Ovis aries: one gene and its partners. The protein of the gene in region 4 purifies or fractionates together with the protein of the main gene of each other region. This does not show direct contact. Links are inferred from orthologs where the notes say so. Each region holds a gene or a part of one and is shown on either strand. Other genes may lie near its edges.

Region 1 (3,581 bases), on a different chromosome or scaffold from region 4:
ACCACTCCAGAGTATTGCTGCTTGTGTGTGTGTGTGTGTGTGTGTGTGTGTGCGCGCGCACGCACGCGCGTGCTTCAGGCTAATCAACTGCACCATGAAAAGCTCAGTAACACTGAGGGTCTGCCTGCCAAACCAGACCTCAGACGCGGCTAGCTGCTGACCAGTGTGAGCCATGCAAACAAGCAGGGAGGCCGCCCGCCGCGGAGGCTCCGGGAGGAGTGAGCTCCGCTTACCTGTCTTCGGCCTGGGTTTCACTGGCAGGGACTCCTGTTTTTCCATCGCTGCTTCTCTTTCTTTCCAGCGGCGGACCTGCTCCTCCCTCATCTTGAAGAACAGGATCTGTTTCTGTTCCTCGTTTAGCTCTGCCAGCAGATCAGGATCTATGTACATCTCCGACAGGATCTGTTTCAGCATCTTTGCGGGGCTGGAGTCTTTTGCACCTGAGGCAAAAGTTCTTGAGAACGGCTTCCAGGGCTGCCTCCCCTGGGCTGGCACGGGGGGGCACCCACAGACCTTCCCAGACGCTCGTGGGGCTGGGACGGCGGCAGTTCAGCGAACTGGCTCTGGGTTCCCACACCGGGCCCCCTGTCCAAAACGCCACTCATGAACCTGCAAAGAGCAACCGCCAAGATGCAACTGTGTTAGAAGGTACAAAGGCCAGGACGGGCTTAGGAGCAAGCTTGGCAGAAACACAGATCCGCCTTTATTTCAGGCAAGCTTTGTTAAGAGTTTTGTGTAACCTGTATCCTGTAATTTCCAAAGATACTTTAACAAAAAAACAAAAAAATAAACCCTAACTTTTTACCGGTCACTCTCAGGGAAACAAAAAATTAACAGAGGCTTGGCTGTCTCCCAACTAAGCAAACATGCGATTACTTCCGAGCTCAACAAACCACCACGTCCACAGCTAAAAACAGTTAAAGAGACAAAGGCAAGGATGAAATTAAAAGCCTCTCTCCAAACAACGTACTTCAAAAGCAAACACTGTTTTTGAGATTTCAGAGAATTACCCACCCAAACCCAAGCCAGGCTTAAGGAAGAAATAAAGAAGAAATAAAAATTAGACCATAATGCAATTTTCCCATTTTCCCTTACAAGTGGCTGTTAATACAAACAATTATGCGCTGTCATCTTCACAGATGGACAGTTCGGTGTTCAGACAACTCACCAGAACCACAGAAACCGTGCAGAGCAGGACAGGGCACTCACATGCATTTTGGAAGGGCACCAGGGTTTAGGCGTGCCTCTTCCAGATACCCTAATTTCACAGGGTCTAAATTTACAGACCAGATAAACTGGGGAGCCATGAAATTAAGAGACACTTGCTCCTTAGAAGAAAAGCTATGCCCAAGCTAGACAGCATATTAAAGAGCAGAGACATTACTTTGCCAACAAAGGTCCGTCTAGTCAAGGCTATGGTTTTTCCAGTGGTCATGTATGGATTTGAGAGTTGGGCTGTGAAAAAAGCTGAGCACCAAAGAATTGACGCTTTTGAACTGCGGTGTCGGAGAAGACTCTTGAGAGTCCCTTGGACTGCAAGGAGATCCAACAAGTCCATCCTAAAGGAGATCAGTCCTGGGTGTTCACTGGAAGAACTGATGCTGAAGCTGAAACTCCAATACTTTGGCCATCTGATATGAATAACTGACTTCTTGAAAAAGACCCTGATGCTGGGAAAGATTGAAGGCAGGAGGAGAAGGGGATGACAGAGGATGAGATGGTTGGATGGCATCACCGACTGGACAGACATGAGTTTGGGTAAACTCTGGGAGCTGGTGATGGACAGGGAGGCCTGGCGTGCTGCGGTCCATGGGGTCGCAAAGGTCAAACACGACTGAGCAACTGAACTGAACTGAACTGAAGGGGTGACCAGGCTCATCACAAAGGGTCCTCGCTCTGTAAGACAGTTTCTCAGATGGAGGAGCCTTGGGCCTGAGCACACAGGTGACTTCACAGGGGCACCTACTCCTCAGCAGACGTGTTCTACTTCACACGTTTCCATTTGGTCTATTTTCAAAAAATATAGCAAACCTTCACATTTTTGTCATTAGGAGAAAATGATGTACACATTTCCATTCTGGGGGGAAAAACAGAATGCTTATTTTGTTCCAATATAATAAGAAATCCACAAAAAGCTTATTTATTTCAACTCTGCAGGATCACCTATGTTCTAAGAAACAGACTAACAATCCTACCATCTGGCCACGCCCTCTCAAATATCTTCTTTCTCCAAACTAACTTCAAAGGCTCTTAAGCTTCAGACCAGTCGCTCAGCCACACGGCGGCCCTCCCAGGCCCATGGCCAGTCACCCCCGGCCCTTCTCCTGGTCACCTCCAGGCAGGCTGCCACACTCCTCTCACGCCCGGGAGGCTCCTGCAGCTTCGTTCCTGCTCCACCTCCTTGCGCAGCTGTTTCTCCATTTACACCAGCTTTTTCAGAGAAGCACAAGCAACAGCCCAACAGCCAGGGTACCCAGGGTGCCCTGAGTACCAACAACATGTAGTTCCGTTCACTAACATGCCCTGTGTAGCAGGGACCTTTACTGAGGCTACCACGACCCTCGCCATCTGCGTCCTGCCATCTGTAGCATTCAGTTACCCGGGGCTCAAATGGAACACAGTGTTTAGAGAAATTTTTAAAAGAATTAAAGGCACCGTCCGACTCTAACTCAGTCAGGCACGCCTGCCCCAGGCTGCCTGGCTAGCTTTGTATTTTGCTTTGAGGCGACCCTCAAAGGCTCTAACAGCCACACCACTGATGTCCTGCGATGCGGTCCTGACTCTGCGGTCTCCAGGAGAGGGGCACAACTAAATCTACACTTGACGGGGGTTTCCAGAGGCTGAGCTCTTGTCTGTAGGCGTCAGAACAGCAGGAAGAAGGTAAGTCCTCCACTCACTGGACTCCAGTGCTGGAGACCAAGTGCTAAGAAGCCAAAGTGAATGAGTCCTTGACATTCCGAAGGAACACACCTCAACATAATAAAAGCTATAGATGACATTCCGGTAAAGGTCCTTACGCCGGGACACTTCTTGACCAGGGGTTGACTTTCACAGAAATAAAACACAGGGGAGAGGAGCTGCCCAGGGAAGTTGGAAGCTTCCGCTCTATCCCCCAGTCTGGAATTGGGCGACTCCCAGCAACAGGGACAGGGCAGGCAGCACCTAAACAGGAAAACCCTGAAAGGGCTGAATCCGCTCTCCCCTCCCCACCTGGCGCACTCCTGGTCTCAGACGCTGACCCCAGCCGCAGCCACGACCGACCATGAGCGGTGAAGGCAGTAACTAACGAATCTTCATCCCAACCTTGGAGTTCAGCCCCTTACCATCCCCATTTCCTACAAGACGATGGAGGGGGTGTGCCCGGCCGTCTGGCTCCAAGTCAGGGGCACGGAGTTTTCCGGGAGCCCAGAATCAGGCTTCCCTGGTAGCTCAACTGGTAAAGACCCCTCCTGCAATGCACGAGACCCTGGTTCGATTCTTGTGTCGGGAAGATCCCCTGAAAAAGGGACAGGCTACCCACTCCAGTATTCTTGGGCTTCCTTTTTGGCTCAGCTGGTAAAGACTTCACCTGCAACGCGGGA
Region 2 (3,581 bases), on a different chromosome or scaffold from region 4:
GGGGAAATGGAGAGTGGAGAGTGATATTAGCATGGGGGTTCTTTTTAGGGTGATGAAAAAGGAAATATTTTGGAATTAATAGTGCTGAAGTTGCATAACTGTGAATATACTAAAAAATTATGAATTGTATACTTTAAAGGAGTAAATTTTATGGTAGGCTAATTTTATTTTAATAAAGCTTTAATTAAAAATAAAGCTGTTATTTTTCTTAAAAATTTAAACACAAGGATAGTCACATATTTTTTATAGTGGGCAACTTAAGAAATAATCAAATCACCAACAACTAGGTGTATATATATATATATATATATATATATATATATAAACATTATGGCTCATCATTGTAACAAAATAATATACAGATATATTCAAGTATTTCAAGATAAAGTCAAAACACTTTTTAAAATATATGCACAATTATGTATAAATCTATGAACAGAAAGTGCCAAAATGAAATTCAACAGAAATGTTAATAGCAGTAATACTTCTGGGTAATGAAATTATGGGTGATTTTCAAGTTTTTATAAATATATAATATAAAACACTACAGGGCAATGGAAATCACAATTTAACAACTATAAAGATCTTTAAACGTAATTATTAAATAACAAGTAGGATGTGATGTGGTATTAAGTAACACTTGGCAAAGTGAATTAATTTAAGTCAGATTTTGGTTGATCAGAATTCACATTCCTGACCCTTCAAGATTACAGCTGTGGTTCTCTTAAGAAAACCCATCTTATGAAAAGTGTGAATTTAAAAGAGAAAAAGTATTTTTCAATGTGTAAGGATGTGTGAACAACATTAAAAAGGAATCTTCCAAATGAAACATATCTAAAATATCCTTCTGCTAACAAAGATTGCTTACCCTTTTTTGATGGAGTTCAGAAACTGTTGACTTGCACCATCAGAATAACTTCTGAAATCATCATTGACAGTGAATCCATTTTTCCATAATTTTATACTTACATCTACCTGCAAAGCAGTAAGAAACAAAATGTATAATGTTAATCAATAAAATGTACTAGTAGATTAAAAATCCTTTGAAAATTTCTTCTATCAGTGTATATTTTATGTATCAATCTTTTCTTTAAAATTGAGATATAACTGACATACATCATTGTATTAGTCATAACATAATGATTTGATGTATGTATATACTGCAAAATGATTACAGAATGAGTATAATTAACATCCATTACACAGTTAAAAATTTTAAATATACCATTCATAAGAGCTAGCTTCAAATATAAAATATCAAAATTATAATGTTCATGTATAATCTAGTCCATAATGAATAATGTTTTAAAGTAAGTCATTAATCATTTTCTTTAGGAGAACTCATTTGGAAGAATATCCTGTGCTCTATCTCAGAGGACACTAATGCTGTCTGGTCAGAAGAGACTTCTCAACAGTTAGAGAAATCTGAAATGACCTGAACATTAGACTTTGAACATTAAAAATAAAAATGGGGGAAAAACAACTAAGAGTAATTAACAGCTATTCCTTCAAATGTAATCTATCAGTTTGGACTTCCTGGGTGGCTCAGTGATAAAGAATCTGACAGCCAATGCAAGAGAGATGGATTGGCTCCCTGATTCGGGGAGATCCCACATGCTGCGGAATAACTAAGGCTGTGCACCACAACCACTGAGCCGTGCTCTAGGACTGGGGAGCCCCAACTACTGAAGCCTGCTTGCCCTAGAGTGAGTGCTTCACAAGAGAAGCCACTGCAATGAGAAGCCTGTGCGCTGCACCTGGAGAGTACCCTTTGCTCACCACAACCAGAGAAAGGTCTGCACGGCACTGAAGACCCAGCACAGGCAAAAATAAATAAATCAATAAAAGTATTAAAAAAAAACACACAATAATTTGCTTAAAAAAAGAACTGTCAGTGTTACTGTTAGCAATATTTCATCTCTCAACATCTTCTGGATCATCTCACTTCCCTGAAGTGTCAGACTCATTTTATACATTTTGAGAAAGTGTCTGCAGATAGCCAAGACTGAAAAATCAGTTGTCTGTAAAGCATCCTTTCATGTATAAACAGTACACCATGAAAAAGCAAACTGTTCAGCTTGCATCTCAAGCAACTGTACTTTTCCTTAAGATACTTCTGTATATTGCAGAAGAGTTTCACATATGTGTCTGTGTGTGTGTGTTAGTCTCTCAGTCGTGTCCAACTCTTTGCAACCCATGGACTGTAGCCTGCCAGTCTCCTTTGTCCATGGAATTCTCCAGGCAAGAATACTAGAGCGGGCTGCCATTTCCTTCTCCAGGGAGTGAACCTGGGTCTCCTGCACGGCAGACAGATTTTTTACTGTCTGAGCCACCAGGGAAGCCTCATTTTATGTATATACTTCATATTTTATTATACAGAAAGTTAGTAAGATAGGTATTGAAGTGTTGGGATTTAATGGAATCTGTAAGTTTCACTGTTCTATCAAGGACATTCTTAATTGAAACAAGTGTTTTTCACCCCCTCAAGTGCAAAGAAGAGTACAGTAATTACTGGTACGGTGTGGTGCTGTGTGGTGCCATTGCCTCAGTTCCTCCTGAGGTGCCAGTTTTGTTGACCAATGCTTTTGCGATATCAGTGCAAACTCAATACAGTGAAAAAAGTAAATAGTATCTTTCTATTAGTAAGAAAGCTGAGCACAGAAGAATTGATACTTTTGAACTGTGGTGTTGGAGAAGACTCTTGAGAGTCCCTTGGACTGCAAGGAGGTCCAACCAGTCCATCCTAAAGGAGCTCAGTCCTCGGTGTTCATTGGAAGGACTGATGCTAACACTGAAACTCCAATACTTTGGCCACCTCATGCAAAGGGTTGACTCAGTGGAAAAGACTCTGATGTTGGGAGGGATTGGGGGCAGGAGGAGAAGGGGACGACAGAGGATGAGATGGCTGGATGGCATCACCGACTCGATGGAAGTGAGTGTAAGTGAACTCCAGGAGTTGCTGATGGACAGGGAGGCCTGGTGTGCTGCGATTCATGGGGTCGCAAAGAGCCGGACATGACTGAACTGAACTGATTAGTACGATAACAGTTTTGACCTCTAAAAGTCCATATTTTGAGAAACATCAGGAAAGAAAAGATTTATGGACACTTACCTGTTTCTTTTGTTCAGTGGGAGACAAACATTTGGCACCAACCTTCTGAGCTTCCTCAAAAAGGCTGTCAACAAAATATTCACAATTTGTTTGTTGACTATCACTAAGAGGTTGGTGGTCAGATCCTGTTTCACAAACCCTACACACAGACAGACACAAAAAGAAGAAGCATTACTGACCACTAATTCTCTAAAAGTTTACATAAATTGCTCTAGTTAAGGGATCTAACACTGAGACACTACCTCCATGTCTGCAGTCAGAGATCCTATTTTAAATTAAGATAGTAGATATGTGCCCTCGGGAAAAAGCCATTAACCCTTTTGGTCCAGAGCACAGCTCTCTCAACTTCAGTCCATTGACACTTGGGGAAAGATAATTCCTTGCTGAGCTGGCTGGCCCATACATTGTAAGAGGTTCAGCAGTGTCTGTGAGCAGTAGTGTGGACATTCCCCCTACATCCCAGTTTTAT
Region 3 (3,581 bases), on a different chromosome or scaffold from region 4:
AAAAAGCAATCCCTTTGAAACAAAAAAGTTCACAGTGGTTTGTATCCAACAGTATGCATTTTATGACAATAACATGTACAGATTGAGCACCCTAGGGCTCTCTTTATATCCTAAAGAAAATGAGCATTTACATTATTTATGGGCTGTACTGAATTAAAAAAAGATCAGTTGTACACTCACCCCTTAGACAGGGGACACTGTCCTGAGTGTACAGCTTTAACACCATTAATGTTGTCTGTAAAAGGAACAGGGAACTAAACAAAACATTTTTCCTTGGGAGTGGAGAATCTTTCATTTGCTGTTATAACCAGCAAATACCATTCATTAAGTCAAAAATGGAAAGGGGAGCCCCACAAACACTATTTGAGCAAGCTGACCAATACACATTACAGTTTTAAAAATGAAGGTTATGTACTATATGTTACAAGTCCCAACTAGGCAGTATCAAAATGACATCTATTTCTTTGCTTGCTTTGTGATCATACCCCTTGGAGGTGTGACGGGTCTTGTGGCATTCGGCTTCTTTTTCTCCGCAGGCTTTAAAATCTGCAAAGATTCAAGACAGTGTATTTTAGGAAATACACTTAACCTCAAGTCTTACATTTCACTCAAATCTTTTGTTCAGAAAGTTTGTTTAAAATTGACCCAACAACTCTGAAAGCTCCACTGGCGTATTAACACAAACCAAGCTGACAAACATTTTGGTAATAAATACTCTTATAAACCGCTATGATATATGATCTGGACAAACTGTTTCGCCTCTGGATAAAATGACAGTTTTTTGAAGTCACATCTTTAGGTATCCCTTCTGACCCAGGGGATATAGTTCTTTAGAATAGTGTTTCTCAAACCCCTAGGGGATCATGTCATAATCTCTGGGGGTTGCAAGACCTGATAATTTAAAAATAAAAAAAGTCAAAAACACTTGTTTTAATTCAGTTAACTGATGACTTGACTTCAGTGGCTGTGTTTTTGTTTATGATTGGGTAAGCCTGAAGTCGTATAAGTTTAATCATAGTAATTGAATGAGAAAAAAACTGCAGACTTTATGTGTAAATGATTCTTTTGTGCCAAGTGACGGCCAAATGATGTCACGGTCAATCACTAGAGGTTTTTTAGAAACAGAGACATGGAGGGAGAACTGAGTCATCACGTGGCACACCTGGCGCACGGCAGCGAGGGCTACTTTCATGTGGTTTAATTTCAGCGGAACACGGTACTAACACTGTAGCTTTAGACTTAATGTCTCATGATTTTAATGTATTCAAATAATATGAAAAAAGTTAAATTCAATACTTGGGGCAAAAGTTCTATGATCATTTCATTCTTTTAAAAGGAATTCACTCATTACTGAACTAGGACAAACACCAATTAAGGGAAAATAATAATTTTTCAGTCTATTCCACATAAATGAATATAGGCAGAAATTAGCACTTTTAAAAAATCAATAAAATGCAGACATAATAAAAGGAAACAATGCTGAAAACATCCTCTACCTGAAAAGAACACATTAGTGTTTCGTCCACACTCATCATGGCACCTGCATTGTCAAACTCTCCACAATAATTGGGCGCAGAAAACAGAGTGACCAACTGCCTCTTTGCAAAAAATTCATATCCATCTTCAACCACCTTGGAGAGAAAATGTTTTCAATGTGAACGGGTGCAAACTTTAGGTGAGTAAAATCACTCTTCAGTTTCCCATTGAGCCTGATATCCTGTAGGTCATTTCCAGAGACATTTTGTATAAATAAGCAATACCTACCCACCAAAATCAACAAGGAGAATCTGTGCTCACACACATGCTCTTAAGTGTACATGTAAAATTCAAAATCAATACCTGATGGGCTCTACATATAAGATCCAAATCATGCTTATGGAGAAATTTTGCAACCACTTCTGCACCAAATGTGAAGGACACTCCTCTGTCATTTTCACCCCAGCCTAAGACATCTTTATCGGGGTCAGACCACAAAAGATCACAAAGAAGACCTTGATCTGGTACATCGGTTGGTCGCATAATTCGCCGAATCTGCTCCATAGATTGAAGATCTGGTGATAAACCTATTAAATGAGGGGGAAAAAACCAAAATGGAAGAAAACACAATTTTAAAAGGGAAGTCAGCACTTTAATATTTCCCTTTCTCTTCAGAGAGACTCAATCATGAACTCTTTGGTTATCTTTTCTTACCTATTAGCTTTTGTTAAAAAGGGACGGGGGGTGGGGGACACTGGAACTTGTTACATGCACTAATTTGTGGGGCAGTGTGGGCCCAAACAGGACAAGGAAAGTTACTTCAACATTCAGAGCACCCTAATGACCACTGTAGTGACCGGGCGTAGAAGATGCAGACACTCAGGTGATGAAGCTTTCTAGGAAACGTGCACTGGCCAAGGACTGTAAAGTCAAACCAGCTCAGATATAACTGGCTCTCAATCTGACTTTAAAAATCACATGTCCAACTCTACCAAAACCAGTATATAAGTACCTAAGGAGGGCAAGGATAGTGGTTTTATTAAAATATAGTCGAGTTGGCTTTTTGATGGTTGTCTAACTTCTGACATAGATGAAAAGATATCCTCTTTGCCATTACTATTTTAATTACATCATATAAAGTACAATCACCAAGCAAAATAACTTTTAACATCTAAGTCAGAGAAATTTCTGAAAGGAAAAGACCAAAAACAGTCCAAGGGAAAGTATATTCACATTTTCAGTATCCTACAGAGTCTATGGTATAGCACATTGTTTATTTTATATTCGAAAATACTTTCTACTCTAGTTTCAAGACTAACTGTTACAGAGCCTAGAAGTCTTTGTAACAAATCAACTGCATACTTTGGACTTGTATCCGGATGATCCTGGATGTGCCAGAGTGGACTCCTGGTTTAACACAGCAGTACAGGAGAGTCACCTCACAGAGGAAGTCATCCGAATGTTAATTCATCAATGTCAAAGTGTATACCCTTTAGAAGAATCCAAATCTACATGGAATTAAAATCAGCCCACATACCTCCATGACAGCAGAATATTTTCTCATCCACGATGGCTGCTATCGGTAAACAGTTAAAGCAGTCTGTGAAAGTTTTCCATAGTTTAATGTTATATCTTCTTTTACCTGTGGAAATTTTGGGATGGTTAAAAGAGAGACTGGTGTTCTGCAGATACATACCCTCAAGATAAGTCCTCCAAGGCAATATTCAAAAACTATGCTTTTATTAAAAAAGAGAGAATTAGATATATATAATATTTAAGAGATGTATGATTTATAAGCAACAACTTAGTTTCATATGCACTATTTTAAAATAGTCTGAAAACAGAATTCCAGATATACTGATTAAGGATTATCATTAAGCCTCAACAATTATTTGATAGCACCAACTCTGTCTGCAATATAGTCTGTTCTGTCCACTCTCAAACCATAGGTGGGTTCCATTTCCAAAGGCGACCAAGAAACAACTCACAACTCACTCTGTCGGCTTCTTCATCAAAAATTAAGATTCTTCCTCCTGTTGCCTGAGCATCTTATTAACTTAGTCCCGGGCTGCTGCTTTCTTTCCTCTGTACATTTCCCCGCTAAG
Region 4 (3,581 bases):
AAGGCTTTGATGCACGAAACTCACTTTTCAAAATCTACTTGAAACAGGTCTACCTCAAATAATTTAATTAACTCAAAAATGTCAAAATCAGAATATTTAAAATCACTTAGTTCTCATTTCCTTTGGCATCCATCGTACTCGAGTTAGAGCACAGCGCTCGCTTCTCACACAGATCTGCACGATATCTGCTTTCCGAGAGGCATGGGTGGTCTTGGGGTTCCTGTCCCCACGGCCTGCCACCAAAGCCCCCGGGCCCACCACCGTGCGCCTGCTCCTGATGAAAGAAGCCGGGCCGCAGCCACGCGGGCACTGCCCACCCCACGTGGGTGCTGCCCAACCATGCCCAGGTGGCACACTCCTGGGCACGGACGGGACAGGACGGCTGGGGGGGTCACTCCCACCAGGAGCCCAGCACGGCGTGAGCTGTGGAGAGACGAGCTGCCCTGGCTAAACACCGCCTGGATGTTCATTAGAGGACATGTGGCGTGTTACGGAAGGAAACCTCAGGCCCGCGTGGGTCACGTGTGCTGCAGATCTGTGCAGTGTGATGTCTCCACTCCTCACTGACAGTGAAGCCAAGCGCTGCCCAGCATGGAGGCAGTGGAGGAGCAAAGCCCTGCCCTGGGGGCCCACGGGGCAGGAGGCTGGGCGGTCCGCACCTGCATGCTGAGGACGGTCAGGTTGGTGAGTGCATCCAGATTCTGAAGCTTAGTGATCTTGTTCTTCCCCAGAAACAAGCTCTCCAGGCTGGTTAACGCGTCGACATTCTCAATCACCTGCGAAGATCAGGGCAAGGCAGCAGTCACGGGAGGGGAGGGCCCGACCCCTTGGGCGAGCAGACAGAGCTGCCTGCGTGTCGGGCAAGTGCTGCCCGCTCTGGGATCCCCCAGGCAACCTCACTTCAGAGCGCAACCTGAGAACAGACGCTGGTGGTGTCCTGCGGGTGGCAGCTGCGGGAGCCCCGGGCCTGGGACGCCTGCAGGCTCCTCCCCGCTCTGCCCCGTGCTCCCCAGGGCCCCATGGGCAGCTGCGCTAGTGAGCGCCCCTGGCAGGCCTCAGGTCCCCGCCTCCCGGGTACACCACTCTCCCACAACAGGCTAGCTGAGCTTTTCCGGCAGGGGCTGCAGCGGGGCCTCCAAGGGCAGAGTGAGCCTCTTCTTCAGTCCTCACAGCAGGATGGGCCGGGGCTGGGCCGGGGCTGGCCCGGGAGGACGAGGACTCAGAGGCAGGGCAGCCCCGCCTGCCGTCACCTGCGTCGGCTGTGACGCGGCCCCTCTCCCCCACAGGGATGCTGCGGAACACGCTGATGCCTGGACCACCCCGAGTTTCACACGTGCTGCTTTGCTACTTTCGACCACACCACCACCACCACCACCACCACCACCGGTCACAAGAAGCCCTTTGCCGCAAACACCCTCCTTGGTTTGCGTCCTGTCTAGCTCACAAGGGCCAACCTGAGCTGACCAGTGTGCTAGAAGCTTCCAAAAGTTGGAGGGGCATTTCTGGCATGCAGGTGGAGGAAGGGCTCAGAAACCCTGCCTACAGCCACTCAGCAGGGGCGGATGGGCCCACTAGGCACCAGGCTGTGCCCACCCTCCTATGGCCGGAGTGGGGGCCCATCCCCCTGCTGTGCATGGGCCCCTTCTGCGCCAAGAGGCGCGCCTAAAACCACACCCAGCGGCATGTCCAAAAGCCAAGCGCCGGGGCCGCTGTCGGGCAGAGTGCAACGCCTCTGCTAAGAGTTACATCGTGACTCGGATGAGGAGCAAGAGAACGCCGCGTGTGGAAGAAAGGGCCACGCTCCCACGAACACCGACCCCCAGTGAGCACTCGGTCTCGCGAGACACAGCTGCACGCCCTGCACACCTCCAGGCCGCGCCCCGCGCCCACACCCACCCGTATCCGGTTGGACCCCAGCTCCAGCATCTGCAGTTGGTGCAAGCTGCTTATGTTCTCAATTTTGCTGATCTTGTTGTTGACCAAGAAGAGCTTCTTCAGTCGTGTCAACTTATCAACGCCTTCAATGTTTCTCAGTAGATTAAAAGAAATATCTAAAACCCTGGGAACAAGCAAAGCATTCATTAACGAGCACAGGTCACGCCGAGCTCAGGACGTAGCTGACTTAGAGGCAGCAGCCCGCCCGGGGAATGTGGCGGGGCGGGCAGCCCATAGGGCCCCGAAAGCCTGCTGCCCCGGCTCCCAGCACGAGGCTGAGGACAGAAACCGTCTTCTCCCTAAGGAGCTCAGCCTGACATCTCCAGTCAAAGGCTTCACGTGCAGGCTGGGACTGTGGGCAAGCGGGTGCCCCCGCGGAGCCAGGCACAGGCCTGACCGTGGGCGGGGGCTCCCCGGCCCGAGTTCGGGCTGCAGGGCTGGTTTCGGGGCGGCTGCCAGGCCCCTTGCAGCCTCACAACTCACTCCAGCTCTGTCAGCGCGTCCAGGTTCTCAATCCTCCGGATCTGGTTGTCGTAAAGGTCCAGCTCTCGGAGGCTCTGCAGCCCCTCTAGGTTCTCAATGCACTTGATCAAATTCTGCCGGAGGCAGAGCGTCTGGGGGACAGAAAAAGGGCAGCTGACAGAGGGGACGGGGAGGCCCGTAGGAAGTGCCCACTGTCCCAGACTCGGCCTCCACACCTGGGGCCTGGGTGGGGAAGTGGTTTTGCTCCTGTTTTCTAGTACGGTGCTGACCTGGAGAGGACGGGCAGATACCCGCGGGGATGCAGGGAGGCCCTGATGAGCGTTCTTGCTGTGTGAGGGGGGTGCTGGGCAAGGGGAGGGGTGCTGTTTTCCAGCAGAGGGAACTCACTGAACTGCAGTGAGCTAAGCACATCGAGTCTGGGCTGCATGTGGCTGCAGGCAGGCCCCGACGGAGGCACCACCGATCTGAGCCACCACGCGAACCTGGGGAGAGCCAGCTAGCCGAGCGTCCGGCCTGTTACCCTGCAGGGCTCAGGATCAAAGGCGCCCGAGGGACGCTCCCGTTGCAGCGTGGCACCTTCCCGAGCACGGTCACCGCGCAGAACTGATCTGCTCCGGTTCACCCACATCCAGTGGGGGGATGCACTCTGCAGGGCCACGCGGGCCCCTGCCATGCAGGGACGAGTTCCTCTCACCTTCACTTTCTTCAGCACCTCGAATCCTTCAATTTTTCCAATGCGATAATGATTCAGATCTACATCCTGAAACAGACAAAACCTAGCTCAGCTGCAGATAGGCACCTGGAGACGCGCTTCCCGGGCTTGGAGCCATGAGGAGGCCGGGAGGCGGCGGGGCTCGGGGAGCAGTGCCGCCCGGAGTCATGGGGCCAGCTGACGCGGGCACAGCTGTGCCGTGACAGGCAGCGGCCTGACGTGAGACTGACCCTATGAACCAGTGGTGCGAGAAGCCTGCTCTCGCCTGCGCGCGCCCCTCGTCACCCCTGGGGGCTGCCCCACCCTCGCCTGCGGCTCCTCCTCGCACCAGGACGGATGTGCAGTGGTCACGGCTGCCTCTGCCACACAATTCTCGGTGTGTACAGCGCCACGCGAGACCAAGCCCTGGTGTTAAAAACAGTAAGAACACAAGGACTCTGACCAGCCAAGG

Evidence for each region.
Region 1: the proteins of PPP1R7 (region 4) and SH2D4A purify together in Homo sapiens (affinity purification with mass spectrometry; 3 studies listed by BioGRID and IntAct, counting the BioPlex papers as one, with this or other methods). This does not show direct contact. The link is inferred for Ovis aries from reciprocal best matches to the Homo sapiens genes PPP1R7 and SH2D4A.
Region 2: the proteins of PPP1R7 (region 4) and UBXN2A purify together in Homo sapiens (affinity purification with mass spectrometry; 3 studies listed by BioGRID and IntAct, counting the BioPlex papers as one, with this or other methods). This does not show direct contact. The link is inferred for Ovis aries from reciprocal best matches to the Homo sapiens genes PPP1R7 and UBXN2A.
Region 3: the proteins of PPP1R7 (region 4) and PPP1CC purify together in Homo sapiens (affinity purification with mass spectrometry; 8 studies listed by BioGRID and IntAct, counting the BioPlex papers as one, with this or other methods). This does not show direct contact. The link is inferred for Ovis aries from reciprocal best matches to the Homo sapiens genes PPP1R7 and PPP1CC.

What each region holds. Positions count from the first base shown.
Region 1 is NC_056079.1:37,631,316-37,634,896, forward strand, and holds part of SH2D4A (SH2 domain-containing protein 4A), read right to left. Parts: intron 610-3,581; 5' UTR 415-609; coding exon 234-414; intron 1-233. UniProt on the Homo sapiens protein: Inhibits estrogen-induced cell proliferation by competing with PLCG for binding to ESR1, blocking the effect of estrogen on PLCG and repressing estrogen-induced proliferation. May play a role in T-cell development and function.
Region 2 is NC_056056.1:31,676,713-31,680,293, reverse strand, and holds part of UBXN2A (UBX domain-containing protein 2A), read right to left. Parts: intron 3,252-3,581; coding exon 3,113-3,251; intron 976-3,112; coding exon 869-975; intron 1-868. UniProt on the Homo sapiens protein: Acts to repress the ubiquitination and subsequent endoplasmic reticulum-associated degradation of CHRNA3 by the STUB1-VCP-UBXN2A complex in cortical neurons.
Region 3 is NC_056070.1:54,596,966-54,600,546, forward strand, and holds part of PPP1CC (serine/threonine-protein phosphatase PP1-gamma catalytic subunit), read right to left. Parts: intron 3,119-3,581; coding exon 3,014-3,118; intron 2,064-3,013; coding exon 1,840-2,063; intron 1,632-1,839; coding exon 1,497-1,631; intron 547-1,496; coding exon 486-546; intron 1-485. UniProt on the Homo sapiens protein: Protein phosphatase that associates with over 200 regulatory proteins to form highly specific holoenzymes which dephosphorylate hundreds of biological targets.
Region 4 is NC_056054.1:607,669-611,249, forward strand, and holds part of PPP1R7 (protein phosphatase 1 regulatory subunit 7), read right to left. Parts: intron 3,179-3,581; coding exon 3,113-3,178; intron 2,550-3,112; coding exon 2,419-2,549; intron 2,060-2,418; coding exon 1,897-2,059; intron 777-1,896; coding exon 660-776; intron 1-659. UniProt on the Homo sapiens protein: Regulatory subunit of protein phosphatase 1.